Linked DNA regions of Elephas maximus indicus. Each later gene encodes a partner of the first gene's protein in a complex. Links are inferred from orthologs where the notes say so. Each region holds a gene or a part of one and is shown in the gene's direction. Other genes may lie near its edges.

Region 1 (8,226 bases):
CAGTGAGTTCACATGAATGGGGGAGGAACAACTTGGAAAAAGAGGACAAGAGTGGTTGCACAATTCGAAGAGTATGACGAATGTCACTGACTTGTATGCGTAGAAACGGCTGTATTGGCCTGTGTCTGCTGTGTATGTTTTCAACAACAAAATAAAGTTATATTTAAAAAATTAAAAAAGCACGTGGGTGAAAGGAAGCAAGTATTATGCATTCAGCTGACCCCTGAGCAACCGTTTCTTGGGCACCTACACAACAGCTAAGGAGCCCTGGAGGTGCAACTGTTAAGCATTCAGCTGCTGATGGAAAGTCCGCAGTTCAGACTGCCAGCGGCTCCGTGGGAGAAAAGACCTGGTGTTCTGCTCCCATAAAGATTTCCATTGCCTTCGAGTGGAGTCTGACTGTAGGGACCCTATAGGACAGAGCAGAGCTGCCTCATAGAGTTAGCAGCCAAGAGCTTAACCACCATGCCACCGTGGCTCCTTCCCCATAAAGATGACAGCCTAGAAAACCCTATTGGACAGCTCGGCTCTGTCACATGGGGTTCCCATGAGTCAGAATCAACTCCATGGCACCCAACAACCTTATGATGTAAGGGTTATGAGAGTACATTTTGCAGCAAGATAGCTCAGCTCCTAGCTGGTTGTTAGGTGCCATCGAGTCGATTCTGACTCACAGCAACCCTATAGGACAGAGTAGAACTGCCCCATAGGGTTTCCGAGTCTGTAATCTTTATGGGAGCAGATTGTCAGGTCTTTTCTCCCGCAGTGCAGCTGGTGGTTTTGAACTGCCGACCTTTCAGTTAGCAGCTGAGAGTTTTAACCATTGTGCCACCAGGGCTTCTTGCTCCAAGCTTAGCCATTTAGTAATGGCCTGACCTTGGGTATTCATTTAACCTGTCTGTGCCTCAGCTGGAAACCCTGGTGGAGTAGTGGTTAAGCGCTACAGCTGCTAGCCAAGAGGTCGGCAGTTCAAATCCATCAGGTGCTCCTTGGAAACTCTGTGGGGCAGTTCTACTCTGTCCTATAGGGTTGCTATGAGTCGGAATCAACTCCACAGCAGTGGGTTTTGGTTTGGGGTGCCTCAGTTTCCTCCTCTGTAAAATGGAGATGTTGGGGTTGACATTTGAAGAAGTGAGTTGTTACATGGTAAGCAAACTCCCTGGTGCAAATGGCTTTTTCATTCCAAAGGCTGTGGGATTTTTGCTTTAAAAAAGGCCAGAAGCAGGTAGATCAGGCTCTGAGCCTGGAAAGGGTTACCCAAGCTAGAGGCAGAGGGGAAAAGAGGAGCACACAGCTGCTCACTGAAAGGTCCGAGAGTCGAGCCCACCCAGAGGTGCCTCGGAAGAAAGGCCTGGCAATCTACTGCCGAAAACTCAGCCATTGAAAACCGTATGGAAACTTAGGGGGCCATGAGCTTATGTTAATGGGTGAGGAATAATTTGAAAAAGGAGGGTGAGAATGGCTGCATAAAGCGAAGAATGTCATTAATGTCACTGAATTGTACATGGAGATATTTTCGAACTGGTGTAGGTTCTGCTGTGTATATTCCCAACAACAGCAAAATAAATTATAAAAAGAAAATCCTGTGGAGCACAGTTCTACTCTGATACACATGGGGTCACCCTGGGTCAGAATCGGCTCCACGGCAACTGATTTATGTCAAGGACTTCCTTGTGCCCAGAACCACCACAAAGGGACCAAGTCACATGTGCCCAAAACGTGACTGCCTTTGATTTTCCCGAACTGAACGTAATTTCTCTTTTGAGCCTCTTTCCACCAGGTGGCAGAAGGCAAACCTCAGTTGATTCCAGATAATCTGTGGCCAAGTCTAAATTCAAGGGGAGATTATATGGATCTCGGGGGGGGGCACCCAGGCCTTCAATATCCTGTCTGCCCTCTCTTGACGTGGCCAACATTTGGCTACTGTCTCTCGTCTACATGGGCCCCTGGGAAGTTCTGGGGAGGGGACAGGATGCGGGGAAGAAATCTTAGAACATTTTACAGTTGTTAGTTTCCATCGCGTCCATTCCGGCTCGTGGCAACCCCAAGTGTACAGAGTAGAACTGTGCTCCATAGGATTTTTTTGGCTATACTCTTTAAGAAGGCAGATTGCCAGGGCTTTCTTCTGCAGCACCTTTATGGAAGCAGCTCACCAGGCCTGACTTCCAAGGCGCCTCTGGGTGGGTTTGAACTGCCAATTTTTTCGGCTAGTGGTTGAGCACTTAATGTTTGTGCCACCCAGGGAGTCCTGAGGCCCTTCACTGCTTCCCTGCTATTCCAAGAACAGAAATTACTCCATGGCCTTCTCTCTACCTGGGCTCTCTCTGGACCCACCTGGCCCACACTGAGCACAGGTAACTCTGGAGCCTGGGGATAAAAAAAAAAAAAAGAAATTCTGAAGTCTCTGGGACAGGCCCAGGGTCCCTTCTCAGAAACACAGACCACCTACTGTCTGTTTCCCTTCCTCCCCTCCGGAGTCTGATCTGCCTGCTTCTGACCTTGAGTTTCTTTTTAAAGCAAAAATCCCCAAAGCCTTTGGAACGCAAATGCCTTTGCTCTCCAACCTTCATCCAGGCCTGGAGTTTCCAAGTAAACCTTAAAAATTCAAACGCTGAGAAGGAAATCTTGGCTTCCTCCCTTCCTGTCTGCTGTGTCATCCCTTCCCTGTGAGCTCAGGGGAGGTTTCCTCCCAGCTGCCCAAGCTGGGACAAAGCCAGGGAAAGAGTAATGGGAAGAACCAGGCGTGAAAACCCACTGCTTAAGGTACCAAAAACCAAACCAGTCGCCATCGAATTGATTCCGACTCATAGTGCAAATGGTAATTGCACTCGCTCGGCTGCTAACGGAAAAGCTGGAGGTTCGAGTCCACCCAGAGGTAAAGAAAGGCCTGGAAATCTGCTTCTGAAAAACCTGCCATTAAACACTCTAACAACAACAACAACAAAAAAAAAACCCATTGCCATTGAGTCAATTCTGACTCATAGTGACCCTATAGGACAGAGTAGAGCTGCCCTATAGCGTTTCCAAGGAGCGCCTGGTGGATTCGAACTGCCAACCCTTTGGTTAGCAGCCGTAGCTCTTAGCCACTAGGCCACCAGGGTTTCCATTAAACACTCTATGAGGCACATGTCTGCCCTGACACACGTGGCGTTACCATGAGTCGGAATCGACTTAACGGCAATTAACAATATTCCATGGATAAATTTTATTTCATTTTTACTAATTTTGATTTAAATAGACACACGTATCTAGTGGCTGCCCTAGGAGATAGCACAGCCTTGGATAAATTGACATGCCCAGCTTCAGTTGTACAACCAGGGAAGAGAAGGGAAGCTAATGGGGGAAATTGGCAGGCTCGTCCATAAATAAAATTGACTTCAATTAAGGGCAAGCTGAGGGATCGCAGGTGAAAACCTCTTTGTGTCTCTGACGGGGAAGCCCCCCCTCCTCTGTAGGCAAGCCACAAAACCCAAGTTATCACCTGTTTACATCAGAACCTCCGGGGCTACGTGTTCTAAATCTGAATCCTCAGTTTCCCCCGAGTGACAAAGCACAGAACAGTCGGTTCTCTGGCCTCTTTGTATCTCAGGCCAGTGCACCTATCCAAGTGTCTCTGGGCAGGTGTGAGAAGGTCATGGCGAAGTCATGGACGGGGAAGAGACTAGGGGTGGGGATGCCTCCCTATGAGACTTGAGATCAGTATGTGGGTTCAGAACACAGCAGAGCTCAGAGCCACCGCTAGAGGCTCCTGTCACAGAAACCACTGAGATGGACCACAAGATTAGGAGCAATTTAAACCACAGTTGAAGAAAACAAAGCAAGGGAGACTTCCTTCTCAAGGGGTGGCTGTTGTTGTGTTCCCTCAAGCTGATTCCAACTCGTAGCGACCCTACAGGTCAAAGTAGAACTGCTCCATAAGGTTTTTTAGGCCGTTATCTCTATGGGAGAAGATTGCCAGGTCTTTCTTCCGCAGTGCTACTGGGTGGGTTCCAACCACCAACCGACCTTTCCGTTAACAGCAGAGCACTTGACCACTGTGCCACCAGGGCCCCTTCAAGGAGTTAACCAAAATCCAAACCAATCTCACTGCCATCGAGTAGATTCCGACTCAAGGAGTTAGGGGGTGTACTTTTCAAAGGAAAGGTTAGAGGAGGCCTCTCTCAAAAGGTGACCTCTGAGGAGAGAGCTGAAGGAGGTGAGGGAGCCAGCCAGTGTCTGTCTGGGGCACACTGTTCCAGGCAGGCGGAAGAGCCGGTGCAAAGGCTCTGGGGCAGGAACGAACTTGGCCTCTCACTGCAGAACTCAGGATTACCACTTAATATCTGAAATAGGTTAATAACAGAACTCTTCAACACCACGACGTCCATCCTACCCAACCCCCCAAACGCATGCGCAATTGGATTCTCTGGCTCAGTAACAACGCAAACCCCTTAAGTCTCAGACATCATCTGCCCTGCGGGGTCTCTCTTAACACTCTTTCCTACCCTGACCTTGAACCTGGCAAAACTGTACCAGCCTCCAGGCATTTGCTGTTCCAGCTTTCATTGCCACTGGGACAGGAGGGCGGAAGGAAGAATTCACTAATAAAATGCCTTACCCAGCCCCGGGCTTGGCTCAATGGAAGCCCTGGATAAACCGGAGCTGTTAAATTCTCCCCCGAAAGGGGGATTGCACGCTGGCATTGCGCGTTATTTAATATTGCAGAAATCATCATTAGTCCACATCTAAGTATTGGGGTGGGGATGCTAAAGGGTCCCCCCATAAGCCACCCTTGGCATGGCCAACAATGATCAGACTTCTCACCAAACAATGCAACCACAAGCCACTCAGCCCCTCCTCCAGTTCCACCCTTTGACCCTCAAGCCGTAAGTCCCCCCTCCCTTGTCTGGACCCCAGACTGCGGCTCTGCGCGACCTCTGTACCCGGCCGCGGGGCCGCAAGGGTTAAGCGGCGGCCGAGCGCGCTGAGTGACAGTCCGGCCGGCGGCTGGAGCGAGCAGACCAATCGGCGGCGGCGGCCGCTGCCCACGTGGGCGTAAGGCCTAGCGATTGGTCAACGCCGCCCGTCCACCGCCCGCGAGTCCCGAGCCCACGTGCAGCTGCTGCTCATTCATTGCTCGACTTCGCGTTCCAGGTGGCGGCGGGGAGGGGGCCGGGGCGGGGCCGGGGCGGGGCCGGGGCGGGGCAGGCGGGGCCTAGAGGGGTCAAGCAGCCCCTTGGGGGAGGTGCTTCCCCTTGGTTTAAACTTGGCCGGCCCCTCCAAGTTCCACCTTCTTCACTGGCCCTGGGTCTCCACTTTCAGACAGGTGAGTTTCCAGGCGGCTTTCCTGGCGGACTCCAAGCTCCCTGGCTGGGGACTATGCTGGAGGGAAGTCGAGGGGGCAGAACTGAAGGAAGGGGCCAGGAACCTGTAGGAGAGGTTGGGGTGGTGAGAGAGGTCTCTTTCTTCCTGTCTGATAAATTCCTTCTAATTCACCTGAAGAACTCTTATTCATCCTTCAAAACCCATTTCCATTGATCTCTTTCTCTGCTTTAGGAAATTAAATCAAAACCAAGTTTGAGCTTTGGCTTCCTTCTCTGGCGTCCCCCAAGCCCTGATTGCTCTGGGCGGGGTGGTGGGGAGCGGTGTATGTGTCTGGTACTGTCTCCCCCACCCCCTCATAGGGTGGAGCCAGGGGCTCCGGCCTTTCTGGGTCCCCACCATTAGTCTAGGCAGTAAGAGACATCAGAGAGCATCTAATGAATGAACGTGAGACCTAGGGAGTAACAGTGGGATGATACGGTGGAGGGCAAAGAGGGGCTGAGGACCCAGGTCCCCGAGGGTGCCAGCGGTGGGTGGTGCAGGAGACCCCAGGGTGGGGGGCGGGATGGTTCTACCCGTGGCACTGCCCAGCGTTCCGTCCTCAGGACCTCCCATCTCCTTATGAATTTCAGAGTCTCTGGCTAAAGCCCTGCTGACTTTTCCTTGAAAACGATGTCTAGGAGCCTACTCACCTCCCAGAGGGACACTCACAGGATGGTAAAGGTGACCTTGAAGCTCCTGGGAACCTCAGTGGCATCAGCCAGGCAGAGAGCCCAGACCTGGGTTCAAATGCAGATGGCCTTCACTTAGTTCTCCCAGCCCTTTCTGATCGGGGTGGTAATAACCCATCACCTGCTTCCCAGCTGACAGAAGCCAGCACTTCCTTTTAAATTAAATTTCCTTCTAATAAGACCCATGCATACATCATCGATTTGGTTAATATTTTACACTCAAAAGCCATCTCCTCACCTCCACCCCTTACTTCCCAGGGGTGACTATTTCTAACAGGGCAGGGTTTGGCCAACTTTTTCTGTCAAAGGCCAGGTAGTAAAATTGTAGACTTTGCTGGCCAACAGGCCAAATCAAAGCTATTCTGTTGGTACTTGAATTAGGAGAGAAAACGGGAATGCCCTTCTGGTTTTACGTGTTTCCTCCCTAGCCCCTGACTGGCCCTTTGAGCCCACTCAGTGGCTTGGTGGAAGAAAGGCCTGGCAATCTGCTTCTGAAAGATCACAGCCATGAAAACCTTATTAGAGCCCAGTTCTGCTCTGCACACATGGGGTCACTGTGAACTGGAATTGGCAGCAACTGGAAATGTTGATTTCTGTGTCCGTCTCCTCATCTTGGAGCCCTGGTGGCTCAACAGTTAAAACACGCTGAAAGGTCAGCTGTTGGAGCCCACACAGCAGCTCTGTAGGAGAAAGACCTGGTGATTTGCTCCCGTAAAGATTAAAAACCCTGTTGCCTTTGAGTCTACTTCGACTCTTAGGAACTCTATAGGACAGAGTAGAGCTGCCCTGTAGGGTTTTCAAGGTTGTATCTATGGAAGCAGACTGCCACATCTTTCTTCCGCCGGGCAGCTAGTGGGTTTGAACCTCTGACCTTTTGGTTAGCAGCTGAGCGCTAAGCCACTGCGCCACCAGAGCTCCTTTGGGCCACCACCACCACCCTCCATTTCCAAGCAGAAACTCCCCTCAGGTGATAACTTCTCATCTCCCCCCTCTCTCCTCTGAACCCTCTTAACCTGGCCTTGGAGTCTAACAAAGGAGCCCTAGTGGCGCAGCAGTTAAGCACTCAGCTGCTAACCAGAAGGTCTGTGGTTCAAACCCACCAGCTGCTTAGTGGGAGAAAAATGTGGCAGTTGACTAGTATAAATAAACCCCGCGGGGCAGTTGTACTCTGTCACATGGGGTCGCTGTGAGTGGGGAATCAACTCAAGTGGTACCTAACAACCCTAGCCCCTACAGGGGAGAAAAAAAAATTTCTTGTCAAGTCAGCTTTGATTCACGGCGACCCCATGTGTGTCAGAGTGGAACTGTGCTCCACAGGGCTTTCGATGGCTAATTTTTCCGAAGGAGATCACCAGCCCTTTTGTCTGAGGTGCCTCTGGGTAGCTTTGAACCGCCCACGTTATGGTTAGCAGCTGAGTGTGTTAAGTATTTGTACCATCCAGGGACTCCCTGTTCTCCTACGGGGCTGGCCCAATTCCTGGGGGCTACAGGTGGTACCTGGGTACTAGATGAGATGGAGCCTTACCTGGTAGCATGGGTGTCTGAGGAGCTGGGGTCTTCAACCCTCCCTTCCCGCTTTGACCCTTCCAGACTCAGACTTCCACCTCCAAGGGCCTGCAGCAGCTGAGCGAGCAGAATACCCTGGATCAGCTGAAGAAGCAGTCCCTCAGGTGAGGACAATTCCATGTGGCCACATGGACTGAAGCCAAAGACCCCACCCAGGGAAGGACTCCCACTTGGGCCCTCTGCTTGGGGATGATCCAGAGGCCCCTGGGTCAAAAGCCAGGATCAGTAAGGGGACTATCGGGGAGCCTGAAGCAAAAGGAAAACAGTAATTCTGACCCTGGTTTTTATTGGGAACACCTTGATATTTCCTGGGGCTTGAATTTTGACTTTTGAAAACATGGTCTTAAAATTGTATTTGTCTTGATCACCAAGCTTTCTGGCACCACCTTCAGTCCGGCTTCTAGCTGATGCCTCACTTCCCTCACCCTCATCCCGGTGTTGCCTGGGGCCTCACCCTGGGGGTGGCGGGGGTCCTCAGGCTACTTCTTCCAACCAGTCTTTTTTTACCCTCAGGGCCCTCCTTCAGTTGAGTACACAGCTGGAAAACATTTGCCACTCGGTGAGTGGACTGGGGCAGCCCCGCCCCGGGGCAGAGGATGCCAAGGAGGGAGGCTGAGGTTGGGGGTGG
Region 2 (7,637 bases), on another chromosome or scaffold:
CCATCTCCTAGGTCTGCAAGCACAGACCCCTGTTTCCACAGCTGAAGAATTCCAATAGCCTTCCATTTTAGAAGAGGAACATGCCGAATCTAGAACTATGACTCATCACATTTAGTTTAATTTCAGTAGGGAAATTAAGACCCTCAGAGGGGACAAGCCTTGCCCACAGAGCTGGGAGCAGGCAGAAGCCAGATGCTAGTTCTCCACCTCACTTCTCTAGATTTCTTTTAGCAGAACTAGGCAGTAGAGGAGGAAACCAGGATGTTAAGCCATTTGCTCTGTGTAATGTTGCCATGCCTCTGAGGCAGCCCTCTAAACAGCCAGGGGCTGCTGGGCAGCTGTAGCTTTAAGTCTAGAGTCTTAAAAAATTAAAAAGGAAAGGAGGGCAGGGCCAGCTTTCTCCTGCACAATTAGAGGGAAGCCTCGATATGGAGACTGTAGATGTCATTCCTATTTGGCTTTGCAGCATCATTTTCTTTGCATCTGTTTTATTTTTTCCCAAGTAGGTTTGGCCTGGGTTGTTTTTTAAGTGCGTTGGACTGGTTGGGAAAGGAACTAGGTGGAAGAAGTCAGAGATGTAGCCCAAAATGTGCCACGGAGTTCTGAGATTTAGCATCTAGAGCCAAGATCAGTGACATGTTTAATTCACAAACTGACAACCAGGATTGGATATAAGGGTTCACTCCCACTGGCCTCGGATGCCCACGGCAGAGTGGTTCATGCCTGGCCTGCAGGGAGGAAGAGAAAGGAAGAGGAATAACTTGGTGAACAGTCATGCAAGAGCAGAAGGAAGTAGGAGGGTTTATTCACCAGCAGGATTGCAGTTTGCTGGGTGGTGTGGTAAGAGAAGTGGGGCCAGGCTAGATCCAACGTTGGAAGATGGGGAGAAGAGAGCTATTTCTAGGCTCTCTCCCCACTCAGTCCATCTCCTACACTTCTGCTAGCACAGTCTCCCCAGAGTGCATTCATTCATTCATTTCACATGTTCTATGTACTTACTCTGTGCCAGGAACTGTGTTAAGTACCAAGGATTCAATGGTGCTGAAGAAGACAAAAATGCAAATCTGATCATCGTTTGCACTTGTTAAACTCACTCATCGGCTTCCTATTTACTTTGGAATAAAGACTTAACTTCTTAGCCTGGCATTCAGGGCTTCTCGTGTTCGTGATTACCATCCCAGCCCCATTACCTATCACCTGAGGGTACCAGACACATCAGATTCTTTGCCTACCAATAAATATGCCAGGGAGGAACCTGAGAACCTGCCTCTAAGCCTTGCTATTTGTGCCCTCTGCCTGCTCTTTCTTGTCTAATCCTACATATCCATTAAGGATCAGTGGGAAATGTCACCTCCTCCCTGGAGAACCTTTTTAGAATCTTTTCCTGCCTAGCCTGAAAGAATTAAAAAAAAAAAAATTATAGAACTTAACACATTCTAAATCCCTTAAGTGATACCATGGTGTGGCAATGGCGTAGTGGGGGTGTCATCCAACCGCTTCATCTAACTTCACAAGAGGAGAGGAGAATCAGTATCAGCACCAACAGCCAAGGCTGATTGCTATGAGGTGGAGGTCAGACATATCTCCTTGTCCAATCTTTTTACCAATTCTGACACCAGCCGTCCCTCCCATGGCACTCTCTACCTCTCCGTTGGGTTCAATGATTCGTTGCAACGGCCACACAGAACTCACAGATCGTACACACAGTTATGGAGTTTATTAGGAAAGTTTTGTTGTTGCTGGGTGCCGTCCAGTCAGTTCTGACTCACAGCAACCCTATGTACAACAGAACAAAATACTGCACAGTATTGCCATCCTCACAATTGTTGCTATATTTGAGCTCATTGTTGCAGCCACTGTGTCAATCCATCTCTTTGAGGGTCTTCCTCTTTTTCAATTTTCAAGTATGATGCCCTTCTCCAGGGATTGGTCCCTACGTAAGACGAAGTCTTGCCATTTTTGCTTCTAAGGAACTTTCTGGCTGTACCACTTCCAAGACACATTTGTTCATTCTTTTGGCAGTCCCTGATTTATTCAATATTCTTCGCCAACACCATAATTCAAAGGAATCAATTCTTCTTCGGTTTTCCTTATTTTTTGTCCAGCTTTCGAATGCATATGGGTCAGGCGCACCTTACTCCTCAAAGGGACATCTTTACTTTTGAACAGTTCAAAGAGGTCTTTTGCAGCAGATTTGCTCAATGCAACATGTCATTTGATTTCTTGACCGCTGCTTCATGGGCACTGATTGTGGATCCAAGTAAAACGAAACCCTTGACAACTTCAATCTTTTCTCTGTTTATCACGATGTTACTTATCGGTCCAGTCGTGAGGATTTTTGTTTCTTTATATGGAGGTGTGCTCTATACTGAAGGCTGTAGTCTCTGATTTTCATCAGTAAGTGCTTCAAGTCCTCTTTGTTTTCAGCAAGCAAGGCTGTATCGTCTGGATGTCAAAAGTTTGGTAGTCTTCCTCCAAACCTGATGCTGCATTCTTCTTCATATAGACCAGCTTCTCAGGTTATTTGCTCAGCAAATAATTTAATAAGTATGGTGAAAGGCTACAATCCTGAGGCACACTTTTCCTGATTTTAAACCACACAGTGTCCCCTTGTTCTGTTCAAATCACTGCATCTTGGTATAGTGAAGCAACAGGTTACAATTCAGGATCAAGAACAACTCGGGATACAGTTCTTTGGTCAGGACGGTCTCTTCTCAGATCAGAACAGTCCCTTGGCCCCTCAGTCTGGCCTTTGTCCTGCTCGGGCAAGTGTTACAAAGCTGTTTTGCTCTGCCAATAAATGCCCAGGGCCACCCTACTCTTCAGGGAAGCCTCTGGCCAGAAGTCACTCAGCACACCCACTGTAACAGCCTTACTCCATGGGCCAGGAAGCCCACTGCGTCATCTGATCACCTGGTTCCTGCTGTCTTGTGCCGCTACCACTCTCGCTGCTGCTGTGCTGCTGTATTTCACTGTCTTCCATGTTAGAGCTCCTCCCTATCTCTCTCCATGTCTCCCTTTAAGCTTAGCAGAATGGCAAAATTGACCAATCCCCTCATTAGGGCTCCATACACCTTATTTGCATGGTCCCACTTCTGCAAGGGTTCCATGCACCTTACTTGCATTGGCAGCAAGCCGTCCAATCCTTTTAGTGGTCTACAAGCACTTTATTTGCATAGTTCCACCCAATCATTGTGTGGGAGTCACAAAGACTATGGCTAAAAAAAAACCCAGTGCCATGGAGTCATTCCGACTCATAGCGACCCTGTAGACTATGGCTAGAAGGGCCACATTAAGTAATTCATTGCACGAACGTGCCCTCTTCCTCCAGCATCCTAGGGCCTGGAATATTCCCTCACACAAACTCTTTCATTCTAGGTTCTCATAACACAACATTTCACATCATCTATTAATCATTTTCTAACATACTTTACGTATTTATTATTTATCTTGTCTTTTCTGTTTCTATGTCTAGAATGTTAGGTTACACATGGGCAGAGATTTTTGTCTGTTTTGTTCACTGTTGAAGACCATTGTTTAGAATAGTGGTTGACACATAGTAGGTGCTGAATAGGTATTTGTTGAATAAATTAGGTAAGTAAAATGTGCAGTCAAAACTATGGGTGTCTGTGAGACCTATATGGAATCTCACTGAAGAGAACCATATGGGAAAGAATCTGTCAGCCTAATCTCGGTGTGTATGTCCCAGGAAGGGAGAAGGACTGGGCAAACTCAGATCATAGCCCAGGGTTAGGCACAGCATAACTGTGAATTGAATCTTGAGTACTGGGCCCTGGAGAGGAAGAAGGAGCTTTCCAAGGGTCAGCCTCCACACAGTTGCATCTTTTCTTAAATTAACCAGTATGCTGGGCTGATATTTGTCCTTCCTTATTTTCACCTAGTCGTAACCAAGAACTTCAAGGTGGGCATAGGGAGCTGGAACCTTGGCGGGGTGGCTGATAGTCCAGGGTTTGGCCCCTTAACTCAACCATCCTGCGGGCTGGCACCACCCCGACAGTATGGATCTACAGCGGATGCGCCCTATCCCTTTCTCCACTCCCCTCTCTTTTCCCCCCCAAAGGCCTGTTGCTTTATTTCGGAAACAGAGACCCTTGACCCCTCCCCTCATAATTTCCCGAAGAATACCCGTCGGGCCATGAATCAGCACTCCCTAGGATTGATGCAGTCCTCATCCCCGCCAGGGGTCCCCAGTGACTGGCAGATTAGAAACCTCCCCAATCCTCTACCGCCCGCGCGCTACGTCCTCTGGGAGATGTAGTCTTGACCGCCCCTTTGTCCTTGGTCTGCCCAGTGGTTCGCCCCCGCAGGAGCACGAACTACAACTCCCAGGGGCCGTTGCGCCGCGGGCCCGGCGGGGCGAGGGTCTGAAGGGGGAGGGGGGAGTCTGGAGGTGCTGGGGCGAAGGAACAGGCGTGGGGAGGAGAAAGGGGAGCGTTGCGGAGCAACGGGGAACGGGCGGACGGTCGGAAGACCGTGGCTAGTAGAGCCGCGGAGCTGAAGCAGGAGAAGCTGACGGCGCCAGGGAGGGGCCTGGGCGGGGTGCGCGCGGCGGGCGGGACCCGGCGCGTCACGCGGCGTGGGCGGGGCCGCTGGGGGTTGTCCTCTCGCCGCACGCACAGCAGCCGCAGCCGCCTCGCGCCGGTCCCGCGGTCGCAGCTCGAGCCGCAGCCTCTGCCGCCTCAGCTGCTCTTTTCGTGGGTCGGTCCCTCCGGCACACGGGCTCCCGCCGCGCCGCAGCCGCCCTCCAAGCCTTTCAGGCCGCCCCGGTCTCCTCATCCGGCCCGACCCAGCCCGCGAAGATGGTGGACCGCGAGCAACTGGTGCAGAAAGCCCGGCTGGCCGAGCAGGCGGAGCGCTACGACGACATGGCCGCGGCCATGAAGAACGTGAGTTTCCCCTCCCCTCGCCCCGCCACTCCCTGCCCTTTCTGAGACGCCTTCATTCGCCTTAGAGGCCCAGGGACTAGTCGCCTGTCGCGACTGCAAGGTGGGTCGCCCCTCCTCGCTTAGGGGGCCGTGGAGGGTCCTGATCGTGAAAAGCACCCGGGTTGTGACGCTGTCTCTCATCCCCGTCCCTGGGAGCTGGCGGCGCTGCCTCCTCGGACTTCGGGGCTCAGACCGGACCGGGGCGGGGTCTTCCGGGACCGTTCGCGGGCGCGGGGTCTCTGGCCCCCGCGTGCTCCGGGTCTGCTGGGGACCCGAGCGGGGCCGTGCGCATCCTTTGTGCCCCACTTCCCCTCCTCCCAGCCTGGGGCGTGGGGGCGGGGGACCGCATGGATGCGGTTCCTCTTTCTCTCCCTGGTGTTTGGGCGGCGCCTTTCCCATTCACTCAGCAGGTTTACTCTTTTTAGACCCCCCCCGCCCCCCATCTCCTTCCCCTCTGCCCCTCCTGACAGATCCTTTACAATCTCCCCCAGGAAAAATTTTAGGCTCTCCTGAAAACCTGGGGTCAATGGTGCAAAATCGAAACCTTCTTGATCACGTTTTTCTTAACAAAAGGCTCCTGTTTGTTCATTCCTCAAAGCAAGTCCTCCCTTTGGGGGGGGGGACATTTGTCTCACTAGCTTCTTCATTAATTGTTCTCAGCATGTCATCTGCATTTCCCCTAATGTTTTGTAATGAAAAGGGTAGGTATTGTTTTTAAAATAAAAGTGGTGGATGTAGCAGCCTGGTTAATTTGTGACATATGCTTTTTTTTTTTTTTTTTTTTAAATTATAGGCACGCGTATTGAAATTCCTGTAAGTTGGAAAAAAAAAATTCTGATCTGATATTGCAAACAAAGCGGTGGTGGGAGGCAGTATCAAGTCATTCCAGAAGATTCTGCGTTTGTCATATTGCAGAGAGCCTAGACTGGGTGGAGGCTGGGAGGGGTTGTTTAAAGGGGGAAAAAGTGTTTTTTTAAAAAAAAATTTTTTTTAGCTATATCTGAGGCTTTTTTTTTTTTTTTTAAGCTAGTGCACCCTCACGCTGATGAAAAGAGAATAGTGATCTCCAGTTGTCGCGTTTTGTTTGAGATGCAGATTTCTGCCTGTATTGCACCATTTTGTCAGTAACACCACATTTATCTAACGGGCTGTCAACCCGCTTGAGATGAGAGGAGGGGGGAAAGCATTGAACATTATTCAATATGGAAAAAATGATCTAATCATTTAGGTCTTACACTATCTTAATATTTAACTTTCTACATTATGTAACAAAGATAATTAAAATGCATCTCCAGTTTGAAATGGATGCACCTTGCATGTTAAATCTTTTTAATGAAGCAGTGTAAGTATAGTAGATTAATTCTCGAGTAGCTAAACTAGTTCACAAAAGATGACAATTGGTGATGCCTTTATATTTAAACCAGTTACATTAACAAAAAATGTTATCATTAAGGAAGGGATTTGATTCTGGGAATTGGGAGTATCCTGTTGCTTAATGTATTGCCACAGTTATTATTTTACAACATTTTAAAGATCAGATGATATAGGTTGCATTTTTAATGGATGCCAATGTTGAAAATATCTTTGGTTCATGTTATTTAGGCTCTTTTAATTTTTCCATATTTCTAGTTTCACAGGAAAGCGAGTGACCTCGCACCTATATCCATAGCAACCCAGTGATGTCACACACAATGACACAGAGGCTGCAATGCACCTAAGGGCTGGTAGGGAGTATGCAAATGGCATTTGTCCAAGGTAATGCAGACGTTAGTTGATAAACCTGGTGGGATTGAGCACTTCACCTTCCACTAAATAAAAATTGATTTGCAACGGAATGGTCCTATTGGTCCAAAAAATAAGTATTTCATTTACCCTTAGACATGCAAATCAGTGACCTCTAGATATGCTTTGTTCACTTTATTTCTCTCTCTTTTTTTTTTCAGACGAGTTTATCACATCCATCCTATTTTAAACACTCATCTCACTTAATTAAAAAAAATTGGGCAACGATGGAATAAAAGTATGAATTTAACAAAGGAATATGTTTTATGATCGTAGTGTGGGGGAGGAGCTTTGTACTGGGGTTTTATTGAAAATTAATAGCTTGGCAGATTTTGATGAAAAACCTAAAAAAAAAAAAAAAAGACTTCCTACTGGGTCATTTTTAGTAGCTCTTAGAGGATAAGAACCCATTACAAACCAGTTATTAAATTCATTTGAGGTTGGGCTTTGGGAAAATTGTCTTGTTGTATTTGTGCTTCTGCTACTTGACAATATGGAGGAAAGACAGTTTGTAAAATAAAACAGACCTATTTTCAAACCTGTTTACTGTGACTTTGAGGAAGTAGGCTGACCTCTGGCCCTCATTTTCCTCATCTGTAAAGTGGGGCAATACCTACTTGAAAAAGTTGTGGTTAAATAAGAAAATGTAGGTGCTCAAAAGCGGTAACTATTTATGAAACTTTGTTTCTTGTTTATAAAAATGATTTCATTATGGAGAATTTAGATAATCCAGGAAGGTATGAGGAAAATACTCAGTGCTGTCACTCAAGTGAGCTCTCTTTGAAGGTGGAAATTTTCCTGACGCTAGAGGGATTCAAATTTATTTGTCTTTATGAAATTATCCCAGTAATAACAGTGTTGGGATCTTTGTAGAGTGTGATAATTGTATGTGGGTGACCAGAATAGGTG
Region 3 (6,519 bases), on another chromosome or scaffold:
CCACTCCGGCTGCTCCGGGGAAGGACCGTGGGTCTCGGCGTGTTTGCGGGCGATTTCCCTCCTAGAAGGAAAGTGAGCCCTAGTTATTCCTAAAAACGCCCCGCGGTAGTAGGGCGAATTCGGGTGCCCTGAGAGCAGTCCCAGGGAGGGTCTGCAAACGCCGCCTGAGCCCTCCCTGCGCTGATCCTTCTCGGTGCGGTGGGCGGCCCGCTGTCTACTTTCGTTGCGCTGGTCCTGTTTATTAAAACAGCCACTTCTCCAACATACCCCAATATCCTCTTGCAAAAGAGGATTTTTGTTACGATAAAGAAGGGCAGAATTTCGGTGTTGGTTTGAGTCAACATTTGGAAGGTTAAAACTTGAAAGACTCGAGTTATTTCAACAAATCATTTAGAGAAAATATAATCAATGTTAAATTTCTACTGTAGGTCTAGATGATAGTCTAGAAAGCTTCACCATTTCACATGCTCTGCTTTCTTTCCCTCCTGCCTGCATTTTCCGTTAAGGATAAATTTTTTTTTGTTTGTTTGGTTTTTAATGAAGGAGCATCTAAAGTATATGTATTGGTTTTGTCAAAAGATAAACTTCAGTTTTTTTTTTTCATGGCGTAAGGTCCGCAAAAATACTGGTAGGTGCATAAAATGGTTTAAACTCAGTGGGACCCCATTTGGCTATATCTTATCAATTGAAAATGTACAAAAACCCTTTGACCCAGTAATTATACATCTGAATTTTATCCTACACATATATTCCCACACGTAAGAAATGACATAAACAAGAATATTTATTGCAGTAGCATTACTGGTAAAAGCAAAAAATTGAATACAAGATAAATATTCATGAACCATAGGACATATACGTATGTATATATACAATGTATGAAGTCAAAAAAATATGAAAAAACAAAAATCTTCATGAGATTTATATTTTAGTGGGAGAAAGATAATTAATTTATAGTATTTCAGATGGAGTAAGTAGTGATATGGAACAATCTCCAAAATACATTAAGTGAGGAAAAAAGGGTACAAGCAGTGTGTACTATATGCTATTATTCGTGTTACAAATACATATGTATGTGTATATATAATTGTATATAAATATATATATTGTATTTTCATAGAATATATTGAAAAGATACTGTGGTTAACTAAAAGGATGAGAGAGACCTCACTGTACAGTCTTTTGTACCAGGTATATTACCATTCAAAAAAAAATTTTAAAGGTGTATGTTAGATATTCACAACCTGACTAGTCTAAAATGAAGGCTTTTTTTTTTTTTTAGGTCTAATGAGATTATCATAACTCTAGGAAGATAAATGTCTCAAAGAGTTACATGCTCCAAGACTGTATAATAATAATAAATGAATTAAAATATAGATAAATAAGAAATTTAAATTCATAGTAACATGAGTTTTTATAACACATTTAAGTATAGTGGTGACAAGACGTTTGTTATTTTAATTAAAAGTCCATGAAAATTTGATTGAATACATTTATTAATGTTAAGGCATTATAAAAATGGCACGGGGGCAGTGTCTGACCTCCTCTAACTTCACTTAAATGTATTTTGGAGATTGTTCCATATCAGTACTTACTCCATCTGAGATACACTATCAATCAGCCTAAGGCTGATTCCTATGAGGCCTGTGTCAGACATGCCTCCTCTGCCATCTTTACCGATTCTGACACCAACCGGCCCTCCACAGCACTCTCTACTTCTCTGCTGGGTTCGACAATTCATTGCAATGGCCACACAGAACTCACAGACCATACTCACAATTATGTGATTTATTAGGGAAGTAACAGGTTACAATTCAGGCTCGGGAACACTCAAGGATACATTTCTTCCATGAGGACAACCTCTTCCCAGCAGTGTTCCCAGGCATGCCTCTCCCTAGCCCTACGCCTGTGCCCAAAGGCACTCAGCTTTTTCTCTCCATGGGTTGGGAAGCCCACCATACCATCTCCTGCCAGGTCTCTGCCAAGGGGACTTGCTGTCTTCAGGGTTGCAGCTGTCCCTTCCCCTCCCCCACCCAAACTGTATCTCTAAAAGACCTTTAAAAAAAAATGAAGTCATTATCAAACTAAAAATATCCTTGATGTCAACAAATAATCATCAGTATTTAAATTTCCAAATGTCTCATAAAACCCATTGCCATCAAGTCATAAGTTTTAGAATTTTATGTTTTTGTTTTATTTGATTAGGTTTAAAATAAGATTTCCACTTTGTGATTGGCAGGTCTTTTCTCTTTTAACCTGTAGATTCCTTCTCCATACCCTCTTTTACCTTGTAAATTATTGGTTGAAGAAGCTGAAGTGTGTGTTCTATAGTTTCCCTCTGTCTGGATTTTGCAAATTGTATCTCCATGGAGTAGTTTAACATTTTCCTCTGTTCTTTCTATTGCTTGTAAATTAGTTAGATCTGTAGACAGGGACACTTTTGAGGGTGAAGGGGAGGAAGAATATAAATGGTTACACTGGGAAAACAGGTGACAACCTGGGCTATCCCTGGCAAACAGGGAAGGATGGTCAATCGGATGAGGTGCTGGCTTCAGATGCCCTTTCCTCACATTCTTCCCATCGGGTGGTTGAGGGACAAAGTGGGACACAAAAGGGACAGAGCCTGAACAGGCCTGGCTACCTAAATGTGTATTTTGATGTTGATAAATTTTGATGTTGATAGCATCATGTATTTCCCTGTTTTTGTGGCCTCATGACCAGTTTAAAAGAAAATGCAGGAATCTCCCTATAAGATAAAAACTAAGTAGTTTCTACAACTACAGGCACAGTGAAAGTAGATATAAAAATCAAACAAACCCAAAACGAGCATGGATGGTGGTGATAAATGCTAATATTTATTGAGTACTTCCTGTGTACCAAACCGTGTTGTAAACTTGCTCCATATATTAACTCATTTTATCTTTACAATAACACTATGAGGTAGGTAATGTTATTACCTCCACTTTGTAAATAAAGACACTCAGACACAATGAAGTTAAATAATTTAACTAAAATCAACAGCTGCCAAGTGTCAAAAGTTGACCTTTGAACAGGGACATCTCAATCCAGAGTTTATACACTATATTAAAGACCTCAACAGTAACAGATCAGTTATTTTAAATGTAAAAGGAAACACCAGTTTTGGGATGTTCCTGGCAAGAAGGCCTCAGCTTTTGGAGAACATCTGTCACAGCCCCACTCTCAGCCCCATTGCCATCCTACTTTCTTTAGTCAATTATTTACTTTTGTAGGGAGTGACAGGTAGCATGGAATTGGGCCCACTTAGATGATGGAAAGTCTAAACTAATAACATACATAGACAGTTTTAAAGTTTTCAGTTAAAATGAAACATGAGTAGATTAAAATGCCCAATCATTCACTGCTTATTAGAAATACACCCAACTCAGAAAGCCATAAACCTTTTCCTACAGAAGAAAGGCAAACTGATTGGGCAATTACAAGTGAGGATGGTAAGACTTCCTCTTACTTTGAACATGTTGTCAGGAAGGACCAGTCCCTGCAGAAGTGCATCATGCTTGGTAGAGTGCCCGGGAAAATGAAGATACTCACCGAGATGGATTGACACAGTGGCTGCAACAATAGGCTCAAAAAAAAATTTTTTTTTTGCATGGCAACAATTCTGAGGATGGTACAGGACTGGGCAGTGTTTCATTCTGTTGTACACAGGGTCGCTGTGAGTCGAAATCAACTTGGCAGTACCTAACAATAATATACATACTCTTTCGTAACGCATATGGTTTCCAACGAGCGGCTGGTGGATTCGAACTGCCAACCTTTTGGTTAGCACCCGAGCTCTTAACGACTGCGCCAGCAGGGCTTCAACAATAATAGTATACACACTATTTCGCAACCTTATTTTCACTTAAGAGATAATGAACATACATTTCTCCATGTCCGTAAATATAACTTTAAATAATACTTGCTCACCACGTCTCCTAACAGTCAAACATTTAGGTTCTCTAAGCTATTTATCGAAGCTGGAAAGGTGGTGGCCTCTGCCGAGGCAACTCGATGGCCAGGGCTCAAGGGACAGAGAAGGAGATTAACCTTTTAACACTTTTTTCGGATTCCTTGAATTAGGTTTATCCACTACAAAGTTATTCCTGCCTCCTAGGAATGCTAAATGGATCCCTTTAGAACTTGCCTGAGAAGCACCTGGGTCTCCGAAGAGGCGAGGGGCGGCGCCGGGAAGATCCCAGCCTAGTACAGCCTCTCGAGAAACGCACCAAGATTCATTCAGCGCACTTGCGCGGTTTGGAGAAGAAGCCCTGGGGCCCGGATTGGGAGGCGAGGCCTGGTATCCAATGACAAGGGCGAGGTGGGGAGGGGCTTGCCAAAAGCTCTTGAAATAAGGGCCTGGTGCCAGGTTATCTTCTACCGTGGGTCAGGAGCGCGGACTGAGGGTTTGCGTCGTGCGCCTTTCCCCGCCACGCTTGTGGAAGCATGGCCACTTCCAAGCAGTTTCCGACGCTCGTGCAGCTGGGGCAGCAGGATCAGCAATTTGAGGAGCTCAGTTATCTCGACAAACGGCCCTTCTGGTTCAACGCCGAGCACCTGATGAATCCGTATAGAGTATACCTCGAGGCTTGGCTAGTGGAAGCGATCTTCGGTGAGTGGTACAGCGAGGGCGGCCGAGAGGGCTCCTGCCCCACCTTCCCATTCCGACCATGACCCAGGGGAACCCTCTCCACCGGCCCTGGCCCCAAGCCGGTTCCCGGAAGCTTCTTCCCTAGCCCCTTCCCCTCGCAAGTCCCCGCCCCTCACGGCCTCCTCGCTCCCACGCAGGACCGGGCGGAGAGCACATCCCGCACGTCGAGTGTGTGTCACAGACCATTCTCCGCGTGCGTCGGGTGGACCCCGAAGGCAAGGCGGAGATCTTGATATTTGGGCGGCCTTATTACCAGAAAGACATAGCCAAGATAATCACGAACTTGGCCGACTATCACCGACAACGCCGGGAGCAAAGTAAGGGACCGAGTGGTGCAGGGAGGAATCTCCCGGGTAGGCTTTGGGCTCTTTGGGAGGGGTCCTGACGATCCCGGCAGCAGTCTCCCCCTCCTACTTGGCCTGGGAGAGGGTTTCCTCTTTGCAAGGGATCTGGAAAGACAAATTAGCCCAGTCTTCTGGAATTCCGTGGTAGACTCCAGAATCGAAATAGCTTTCTGCCACCACCCGCGCAGGCCGTATTGATAACTGTCCCTTTGAGAAGGGGAGGCTGGGGACGTACTTGCGGTGTTCTCATACTGCTCTCTACGTTCAGAGAAGAGCCTTGCCCCGGAGGCCGGCACCCAGGGGGCTGCCGACGCCGATCCGGAGGCCGGCACCCAGGAGGCTGCGGACGCCGATCCGGAGGCCGGCACCCAGGAGGCTGCGGACGCCGATCCGGAGGCCGGCACCCAGGAGGCTGCGGACGCCGATCCGGAGGCCGGCACCCAGGAGGCTGCGGACGCCGATCCGGAGGCCGGCACCCAGGAGGCTGCGGACGCCGATCCGGAGGCCGGCACCCAGGAGGCTGCGGACGCCGATCCGGAGGCCGGCACCCAGGAGGCTGCGGACGCCGATCCGGAGGCCGGCACCCAGGGGGCTGCGGACGCCGATCCGGAGGCCGGCACCCAGGGGGCTGCGGACGCCGATCCGGAGGCCGGCACCCCGGGGGCTGCGGACGCTGCCCCCGAGGCCGAGGCCGGCACCCCGGGGGCTGCGGACGCTGCCCAGCTCTGGGTTACCAAGCTTTGAAGGTAGTTAGTGCCCCGAGGCTAGGGCCATGCAGAGTTTAAAGCGGAAGCTTTGTCTGGACCCTTGTTCTAGGTCCTGCTACCCCTCTCCCCCAGAATAAAAATGATGGGGTGGATTTTTTTCTCTTTTCCTGTGTTAAATGTTCGTAAACACGAATTTAAAGAGTCCTAATAAAGAGTCAAATTTCTCTAGTGTTTGTTAATCGGAAGATAGGAGGGAAGGGAGAGGCGGCAGGTTCCTCCGACAGCCGAGTTCTGCCCACACTGCTCTCTACCTAGAGACTAGTGGGACCTCTTGGGTTTCTAGCGGCCGAAGCTGCAGTCTCTTCCCCTCGCCCTTTCCCCAAACCCCTCCCGCGGCCACGTGCTTGCCCTTATGGTGCTTCTTAATCTTGCGCCGCTGCCTTTGCAGAGGGAAGGCTAGTGCCCACAGAATCGGCCCTCACTGGGAAATCCACCTAGCCCCCTGGTGTTGCAATCAAGGTGCTTTAGGATGGCCCAAATCTGGTTGCGGCCCACCTAAACTTGGAGGGCCCGCAGGGATGTCCCACGGTGCCACAGATAAGGGCAACTGACAGTGGGGAAGAACTATGGGAGAAAGGCTGGCTATACTGCTAATGTCCTCAGATCAGTCCCCCGCCCTTCTGTGAGGCTTGACATGAGCGCGAAGTTCAACTTCGTCCATTACAGCGGCGGAGTACCTCCGACTCGCTCTCGGTCTGAGCGCAGCTCTGGGCTATTGAGCAACTAGGCCTGTTCCCTG
Region 4 (6,314 bases), on another chromosome or scaffold:
AAAAGATAAGAGTGGAAAGTCTTTTCTGTTCTGTTTGATTGGCTTTATGTGACAAGTTCCCTAAAAGATATTTTTCTTCCCTAAGAGATAATTTCTAAGATTGTCCTATCTATTTTTTTTTTTTTATTGTCTTTATATCAGAGCCCAGCTGATATGTCCTTGTGAGTCCTTGTGGGCCCAGCTTCAGATGGGTCACATTCTGTATGCTCAAGGACAGGGAATAATAATTCCAATATTATTTTCTAAATCAGTTATAACAATGTATTGTTGGATTTGTAACATGAACAGATATAATATGTACAATAATAATACCTCAAAAGGATGAAAAGAGAATAGAGCTATACAAAAATAACATTTTTATATTTCACTGGAATTAAGCTTTTATAAATCTGAAGCTTATTCTTATAAGCTAAGATGTATATAGTAAACCTTAGGGCAACCACTAAAAAAAATTTTTAAAAACTCAAAAATAAGTGAAAAATCATTATACAAATTAAAATGATACATTAGAAAATATTCACTTAATGCAAAAGAAAGCAGTAAAGGAGAACTGGAGGAATAAAAAGGCATGAAATGAATCCTAAACATCAGAGGCATGCTTCCTGAACATTAGAAGAATGTCCTCTATACTTCAGAACGGTTAGGCCTTTATTATATTCCTTTTTTGCAATGATAGCTCCTGGCTTGACACTGATTGGTTAAATATCTTCTTACTACTGTAGAATATTTTCCTCATTTAACCATCTAAAAAAATAATCTATGATTTATGCATTTTGATGTTATTTGGTACAAAAAGATTAATGTCTTTATTATGCTTTGTACCATTTTTCACTGTCTAGAGGATTCCACGTTAGAGCTGAAGATTAGACCAAGAATGGAAGTACTGGAAGACAAAGATTCTCAATGAGAAATTAAAGAGCAATTCACTCACAAACTCTATTGCCTGAGTCCAAAGCCTCTTCAGACTGGTTCCTCCAGTGCTCAGCAGAGAAAATGGAAGCATATGATACCTGGGAGGTCTTCTTGGTACTATATCCTTACCATGGGGTACAAAGAGTTTTGTTCTTTTTACTGTGGTAAAATATATATAACAGAAAACACACCTTTTTAACCATTTTTAAGTTAACAATTCAGTGGCATTAATGACATTCACAGCGTTGTGCAACCATCACCACTATTTAGAGTACAGAGAGTTTAAGTACATTCAGTCACAGACCTAGCAATGTTGGAGCCTGTATTCAACTCACGGCCCCTCCAATCCAAAGTAAAACCAGGAAGCCTGGGAGATAACTGAGTGTCAAAACGGACTCATCTTGGCAGATTCTACTAAGCCTTAAAACTTTGTGATTCTGTTCTGAAGTTGGCATGGGGGGCAGCAAATACAACTCAAGATCTGCCAAATGTAGGAAACTTAATAGGAGAGCCCTGCACAAAGCTGGGACACCAAGTGACCATACCTCCAACATAAAACTAAATCAGAAATAAACTTTGTCATCCAGATGGAAACATCAAAGGAACTTGTTTTGTGGTTGCCTTTCTCAGGTATGTTTTGACCTGATAATTAATTACCACAAGCCAGACTTTATGCAAGGTTTTGGCTAACTCATGCTACATGTGTAAGTCTGAAATTTTTCAGAAATTTAATTTGAAGTGGCCTCAGGTTGGGCACATCCTCAAGAGAATGGCTCAGAGCAAAAAAGCTATCAATTTATAGTGATTTAGGAAATAATACTGGAGTCATCATTCCCTGTCCTTGAGTATAGAGAATGTGACCCAGCTGGAGCTGGGCTCACAAGGACAGATCAACTGGGGCCTGAGATAAAGACAATAGAATAATCTTAGAAAATATCTTTTAGGAAACCTTTCAGAACACAAAAGACTTTCCACTCTTACCTTTTTCTATTAACATTTAGTGAATAGAAATTTCTTGGACCAATGAAGACCCTCCTGACTGTTGTAACTGAAACCTGTACCAGTGATCATTAAGAAAGGTGATTCGAAATGTAGGATCACAGTTTCTAGCAGATCTGTGAAAAGATAAAGCTTCCAATTGTTTTGCCCATTTTGTAATGTTAATATATACTGATGACTCTGTAACCTTCTCTGGACCTGGACAGACACGGGGGTGGCAGCATGCTTGTTCGTTTTCCCATTCTTGTCTATTCTGTAATACTCTCTGGACTCCTTAGCTCTGGCATCACGCTTCTCCGCTTCCCGCTTTTGTCTTTTTGAATATATGCCGGATAAAACTTTGTTTTTGCTTTACTAAACTTTGCGATTTTTTTCCCCTACAATAGAAAGATGAAATTATAGTACTACCTCATGCCCAACTGAAGAAAATTAACCCCAGGTAGATTAAGCACTTAAATGAAAGATCAAAACTTCAGCATTCTTAGTAGAAAGTATAGTGAATATCTTTAAACCTCAGGCTAGGAAAGGCTTTCTTAAGCAAGACAAAGAAAGCATTTACTATAAAGGCTAATAAATCTGACTATGTTCAAATTAAGAATTTTGTTCATCAAGATACCGTAAAGAAAGGACATTATCGATTGGAAGAAGAGATTCACGATACACACACCTGACAAAGGATTAGTAAAAGGATGATGGAGAACAGGTGATTTAGGAGATAATATTGGAGCCATTATTTCTTATCTTAGTATGTGACCCAGCTGGAGCCGGACTCACAAGGACACATCATCAGCTGGGCCCCCGAGGTATAAAGATAACAGCTAGGACAATCTTGGAAAACATCTTTTAGGGAAACTTTCACATGAACAAAACAGCACAAAAGACCTTTCAACTCTTATCTTTCTCTATTAGCATTTAGTGAATAGTAAGATCTGTTGGACCAGTGAAGACCCTCCAGACTGAAACGTTGTTGTACCAGTGATTATTAAGAAAGAGGATCCACAGTGTGGAGTCCCGTTGATCTAGCAGTTTTTAGGCAATCCATGAAAAGGTGAAGCTTTCACCGATCTTACCCATTGGTGATGTTTACACTGGTGATTGTGTAATGTTCTCAGATTCCGGCAGACATCAGCTCTGGCAGCATACTTGTCAGCTTCCCGCTTTTGCCCTTTTGAATACATGCCAAATAAAACTTTCTTTTTGCTTTACTAAACTTTGAGATTTTTTACCCTACTGCACATGGGAAGGGAGATTTTCACAAATTATATTCTCAAGATGTTTTCACAATGTGCATCTATTACTGTGTAGATTTAGAAAATTACAGTGAACAAATAAAAATATCCACTAAAGTTAGGTGCAGTACTTCCTCTCATTTCCTCTTATAGATACTGTCTATTGTTGAAGCCTAAATTATGTGGATGAGGGAATTTAATATAGTAATACTATCCTCCCTTATGTAAATTACTGAAAATTTCCATTAAAAAGATTTTGAAAACAAATTATACCTAATTTTAAGGAAAAAAAATTTGTACAGCAGATGCTATCTATTCTACAACAATTAACCAAGCAATATTTATAACCAAGCAATATTTATAGAACTACCCTAGCAAAAGTGCAAGAACATGTGTGGGTATGATACACACCAGCTTCATGATGATAATTTCCTCTGGGGAAGGAAAGGGAAGATTCTTTAGTGATATACATTTTAAAGATCAGAGAAGTGAGGCAAATGTAGGAAAATGTTAATATCTGTTAACTGCGGGTAAGGGGAGAGGTACATGGGTGTTACATTACTTTTGGATATGTGAAATCTGCCATAATTTAAAGTTATAGTTAAAATTAAGAACACAGGGAAGAAATAGGTATCAACAGCAGTTGTGTCTTAGGATGATGGAAGTAAACAGGATATGCCCGTAACAGCCACGTTTCCTCTAAGGATCAGGTCGGACATTTTACTTATAAAACACGACACATTTAGTTTTGTTAGAATGATTTCGAGATGGCAACCTAACCGGAAAGAGTCAGAAGATAACAGGGAGAAAATACATTATACAGATTCGAGGAGCCTGCCCTATGCCTGACCTACCCACCTACGTCTGCAGGGTAATGTGAAAACTTTTAACCCAGGCACTGAAGGGGATTCCCGATCAACAAAGTCACCAATTCCAATTCACACTATTTATCAGCTACGTGACAAAGCAGCGGCCTTTGAGGCTAAGTGATACTGTACAAGGCAGAGATGACCGAGGGCGACGCCAGGCAGGCTCAAAAAATTACTCCTTCCAGGTAGAAGAGGGGCCCCAGCGACTGGCTCAGCAGGAAGCGTCCCGGGGCCCTGCAGAGCCGCAGCTCCAGGAGGCGATTGAGCCTCCTCACCGCCAGGGGGGGCGCGAGGAGCGCCGGAGGGGCGGGGCTGGTGGGAAACCGTAAAGGCGGTGAGCTTCGCGCGTCTGCCTAGCATCCCGCCAAGAGCTGCCTCCAGCATGGTGGATAACGCTGGTGGCGCTGAGGCCCAGGTGGAGCCAGACTCCCTCGTGTTACCACATCAAGGACCAACGCTTCGCTTGCGGCCATGGTGGTTTCCGGTGGAGGAACTAAAGGAACCGCTGGTGTTTTACCTGGACGCATGGCTGGTGGACCTGATCTTTGGTAAGTGATCCCGCATGTGCTTGCAGGCCAGTCATTTCCAGTGGGAGAAGGGCAGCCCAACTACTCTCTGTTGCCTCTTTCCTAGATTCAGAGGCCAATTTGGCGCCATGACGCCCAACTTCCAGCTGTTCCCTTTCTCTGGCCAACATTCCCTTCAAACCTAGCTCCTAAGCTGCAACCACTTCGACCTTCATAGCCTCTCCTTCTTGCCTGTTTAGGCCCAGACAGAGCCATAATTCCAAAAATTGAGTGGATGAGCCAGATTCTGCTGACTGTGGATGTGGTGGACTCCAGTGACCTAGCCAAAATCACCATCTTCGGACGGCCCAGGGTACAGAATCGGGTGAAGAAGGTGCTCCTGGCCGTGGCATCGTGGCACCGGAAACGTCGTCACCGAAGTGAGAGTCTTAGAGAATCTGCATGTAGGGGGAGCCACGGAGGACCCATCTGGCCTTGCTCAACCCCTTTCCAACCACCCTTCCCTCTCAAAACAACTTTTTTGCTGTTCTCAATCCCAAGAAGCTAAACCCTACCCCTAGGGATCCCTTTGGGAGGGAGAGAGCCCAGGTTACAAAAAAAAAAAAAAAAAAAACCCACTGCTGTTGAGTCTTTCTAACTCATAGCAACCCTATTGGACAGAGTAGACCTGCCCCATAGAGTTTCCAGGGAGCACCTGGCAGATTCGAACTGCCGACCTTTGGTTAGCAGCTGTAGCACTTAACCACTACACCCTTGGAAAAGTAAGTTGAGATCTGATTCATTAAGGCCATCATTGCCCAAGCCAGCCTCAGCTGGCCTATTCCTAGATGCCAGTTTTCGAGCCTCCATCCTGAGAAAGGATGTTGCCAGCATCTCCTTCCCTCGTTTATCAGTGCTTAGGCTAAAACAGCAAGCGTTTCCCTTACTAATGGTTGGTATCAATTGCTTTTCCTCCAGGTGAGAAGATGGAACAGCTTGAGGAGTTCTTGAAGGCAGGTGCATCCAGTCCCCAGGCCCCCCAGCATCCTATTGCTTAAGGGAGTATCCTCAGGAGTATGATGAGCACAGTTCTGTTTCTGCTACCAAAGTTGGAGGGAAACAATTATCTAATATCTGCATTCCATTCTTCTGTGTCTGGATGAATATGCTTTGATTATTTTGGTGCAAACATGAGTTTGTAGAGCTCTTGTAATCAAGAAATGGATTTCCTTGCTTTTTGGGTCCAATGGCAATAAAATGTGTTAATTTAGTTAGGCAGATTTATAAAAGGTTGACTGTTCATTCATTCTTGGCGGGGGTAGAAGGCTGATACTCTTTTTGTTCTTGTTTGTTTTTAGTTTTACCATTTGGAAACTGCTAACTCTTTTATGGTTAGCCTCAGGCCCTCAAATGCAGGCAGGGGACAGAAGTATAAGGGCGGATGACCTTCAAGTGTCTGATCTGTTTTGGTTTCAGTGGTTAGTAAGATTTAAAGTATATCAAGAGTCACCTTGATAGCTCGTTAAAACACAATTCCCTAGACCCCTTCTCCAGAGATTCTGATTCAGTACTGGGTGAGGGCCCATGACTTTGCATTTCCAACAAGTTCACAGGTGATGCCAGTGCTGCTGAGACTCTCACCTTGAGAACCACGGCTTTACATCTCCTTACTCTAGTTGTGAGAACGCATATTAAGTCAATGTATTGAAGAATCATCAGAAATTTGGAAGTCTTACGGAGGAACTAAAGGGACTTAATAACATTTAAGGAGGGAACCAGAAGACTTTCTAAGGGCAGTT

What was found.
Region 2: the proteins of TLE6 (region 1) and YWHAG are in contact, whole or in part, in a cryo-EM structure (PDB 8XI3), measured with the Mus musculus proteins. The link is inferred for Elephas maximus indicus from reciprocal best matches to the Homo sapiens genes TLE6 and YWHAG. Residues at the interface, in NP_444484.1 of Mus musculus: Phe137, Leu138, Ser139, Glu140, Ser141, Asp142, Leu144, Gln145, Leu295, Arg347, Asn430, Leu447, Gln470, Met472, Asn489, Asp510, Asn511, Thr512, Met530, Pro553, Arg555; in NP_061359.2 of Mus musculus: Lys50, Arg57, Arg61, Lys125, Asp129, Arg132, Tyr133, Gly174, Leu177, Asn178, Val181, Glu185, Phe201, Asp202, Ile205, Ala206, Leu208, Asp209, Glu213, Tyr216, Lys217, Thr220, Leu221, Ile222, Met223, Gln224, Leu225, Arg227, Asp228, Asn229.
Region 3: TLE6 (region 1) and KH domain-containing protein 3-like share a complex: the UniProt entries of both Homo sapiens proteins name them as parts of the subcortical maternal complex. The link is inferred for Elephas maximus indicus from reciprocal best matches to the Homo sapiens genes TLE6 and KHDC3L.
Region 4: the proteins of TLE6 (region 1) and OOEP are in contact, whole or in part, in a cryo-EM structure (PDB 8H94), measured with the Mus musculus proteins. The link is inferred for Elephas maximus indicus from reciprocal best matches to the Homo sapiens genes TLE6 and OOEP. Residues at the interface, in NP_444484.1 of Mus musculus: Trp256, Ser258, Phe304, Thr305, Arg306, His307, Val318, Asn320, Val322, Asn323, Glu332, Ser333, Asn354, Ser355, Arg356, Leu373, Ala374, Ala375, Pro376, Ser377, Leu378; in NP_080756.1 of Mus musculus: Arg32, Pro33, Trp34, Trp35, Pro37, Gln39, Glu40, Glu67, Trp70, Met71, Gln73, Gln94, Pro95.

Annotation. Positions count from the first base shown.
Region 1 is NC_064821.1:6,074,927-6,083,152, forward strand, and holds the start of TLE6 (transducin-like enhancer protein 6), read left to right. Parts: upstream 1-5,223; 5' UTR 5,224-5,305; intron 5,306-5,933; 5' UTR 5,934-5,973; coding exon 5,974-6,024; intron 6,025-7,622; coding exon 7,623-7,702; intron 7,703-8,111; coding exon 8,112-8,157; intron 8,158-8,226. UniProt on the Homo sapiens protein: Component of the subcortical maternal complex (SCMC), a multiprotein complex that plays a key role in early embryonic development.
Region 2 is NC_064830.1:94,203,042-94,210,678, forward strand, and holds the start of YWHAG (14-3-3 protein gamma), read left to right. Parts: upstream 1-4,612; 5' UTR 4,613-4,820; coding exon 4,821-4,907; intron 4,908-7,637. UniProt on the Homo sapiens protein: Adapter protein implicated in the regulation of a large spectrum of both general and specialized signaling pathways. Binds to a large number of partners, usually by recognition of a phosphoserine or phosphothreonine motif.
Region 3 is NC_064819.1:136,624,885-136,631,403, forward strand, and holds KH domain-containing protein 3-like, read left to right. Parts: upstream 1-4,464; coding exon 4,465-4,630; intron 4,631-4,806; coding exon 4,807-4,986; intron 4,987-5,281; coding exon 5,282-5,757; downstream 5,758-6,519. UniProt on the Homo sapiens protein: Component of the subcortical maternal complex (SCMC), a multiprotein complex that plays a key role in early embryonic development.
Region 4 is NC_064819.1:136,634,357-136,640,670, reverse strand, and holds OOEP (oocyte-expressed protein homolog), read left to right. Parts: upstream 1-4,277; 5' UTR 4,278-4,391; coding exon 4,392-4,557; intron 4,558-4,775; coding exon 4,776-4,955; intron 4,956-5,493; coding exon 5,494-5,573; 3' UTR 5,574-5,787; downstream 5,788-6,314. UniProt on the Homo sapiens protein: Component of the subcortical maternal complex (SCMC), a multiprotein complex that plays a key role in early embryonic development.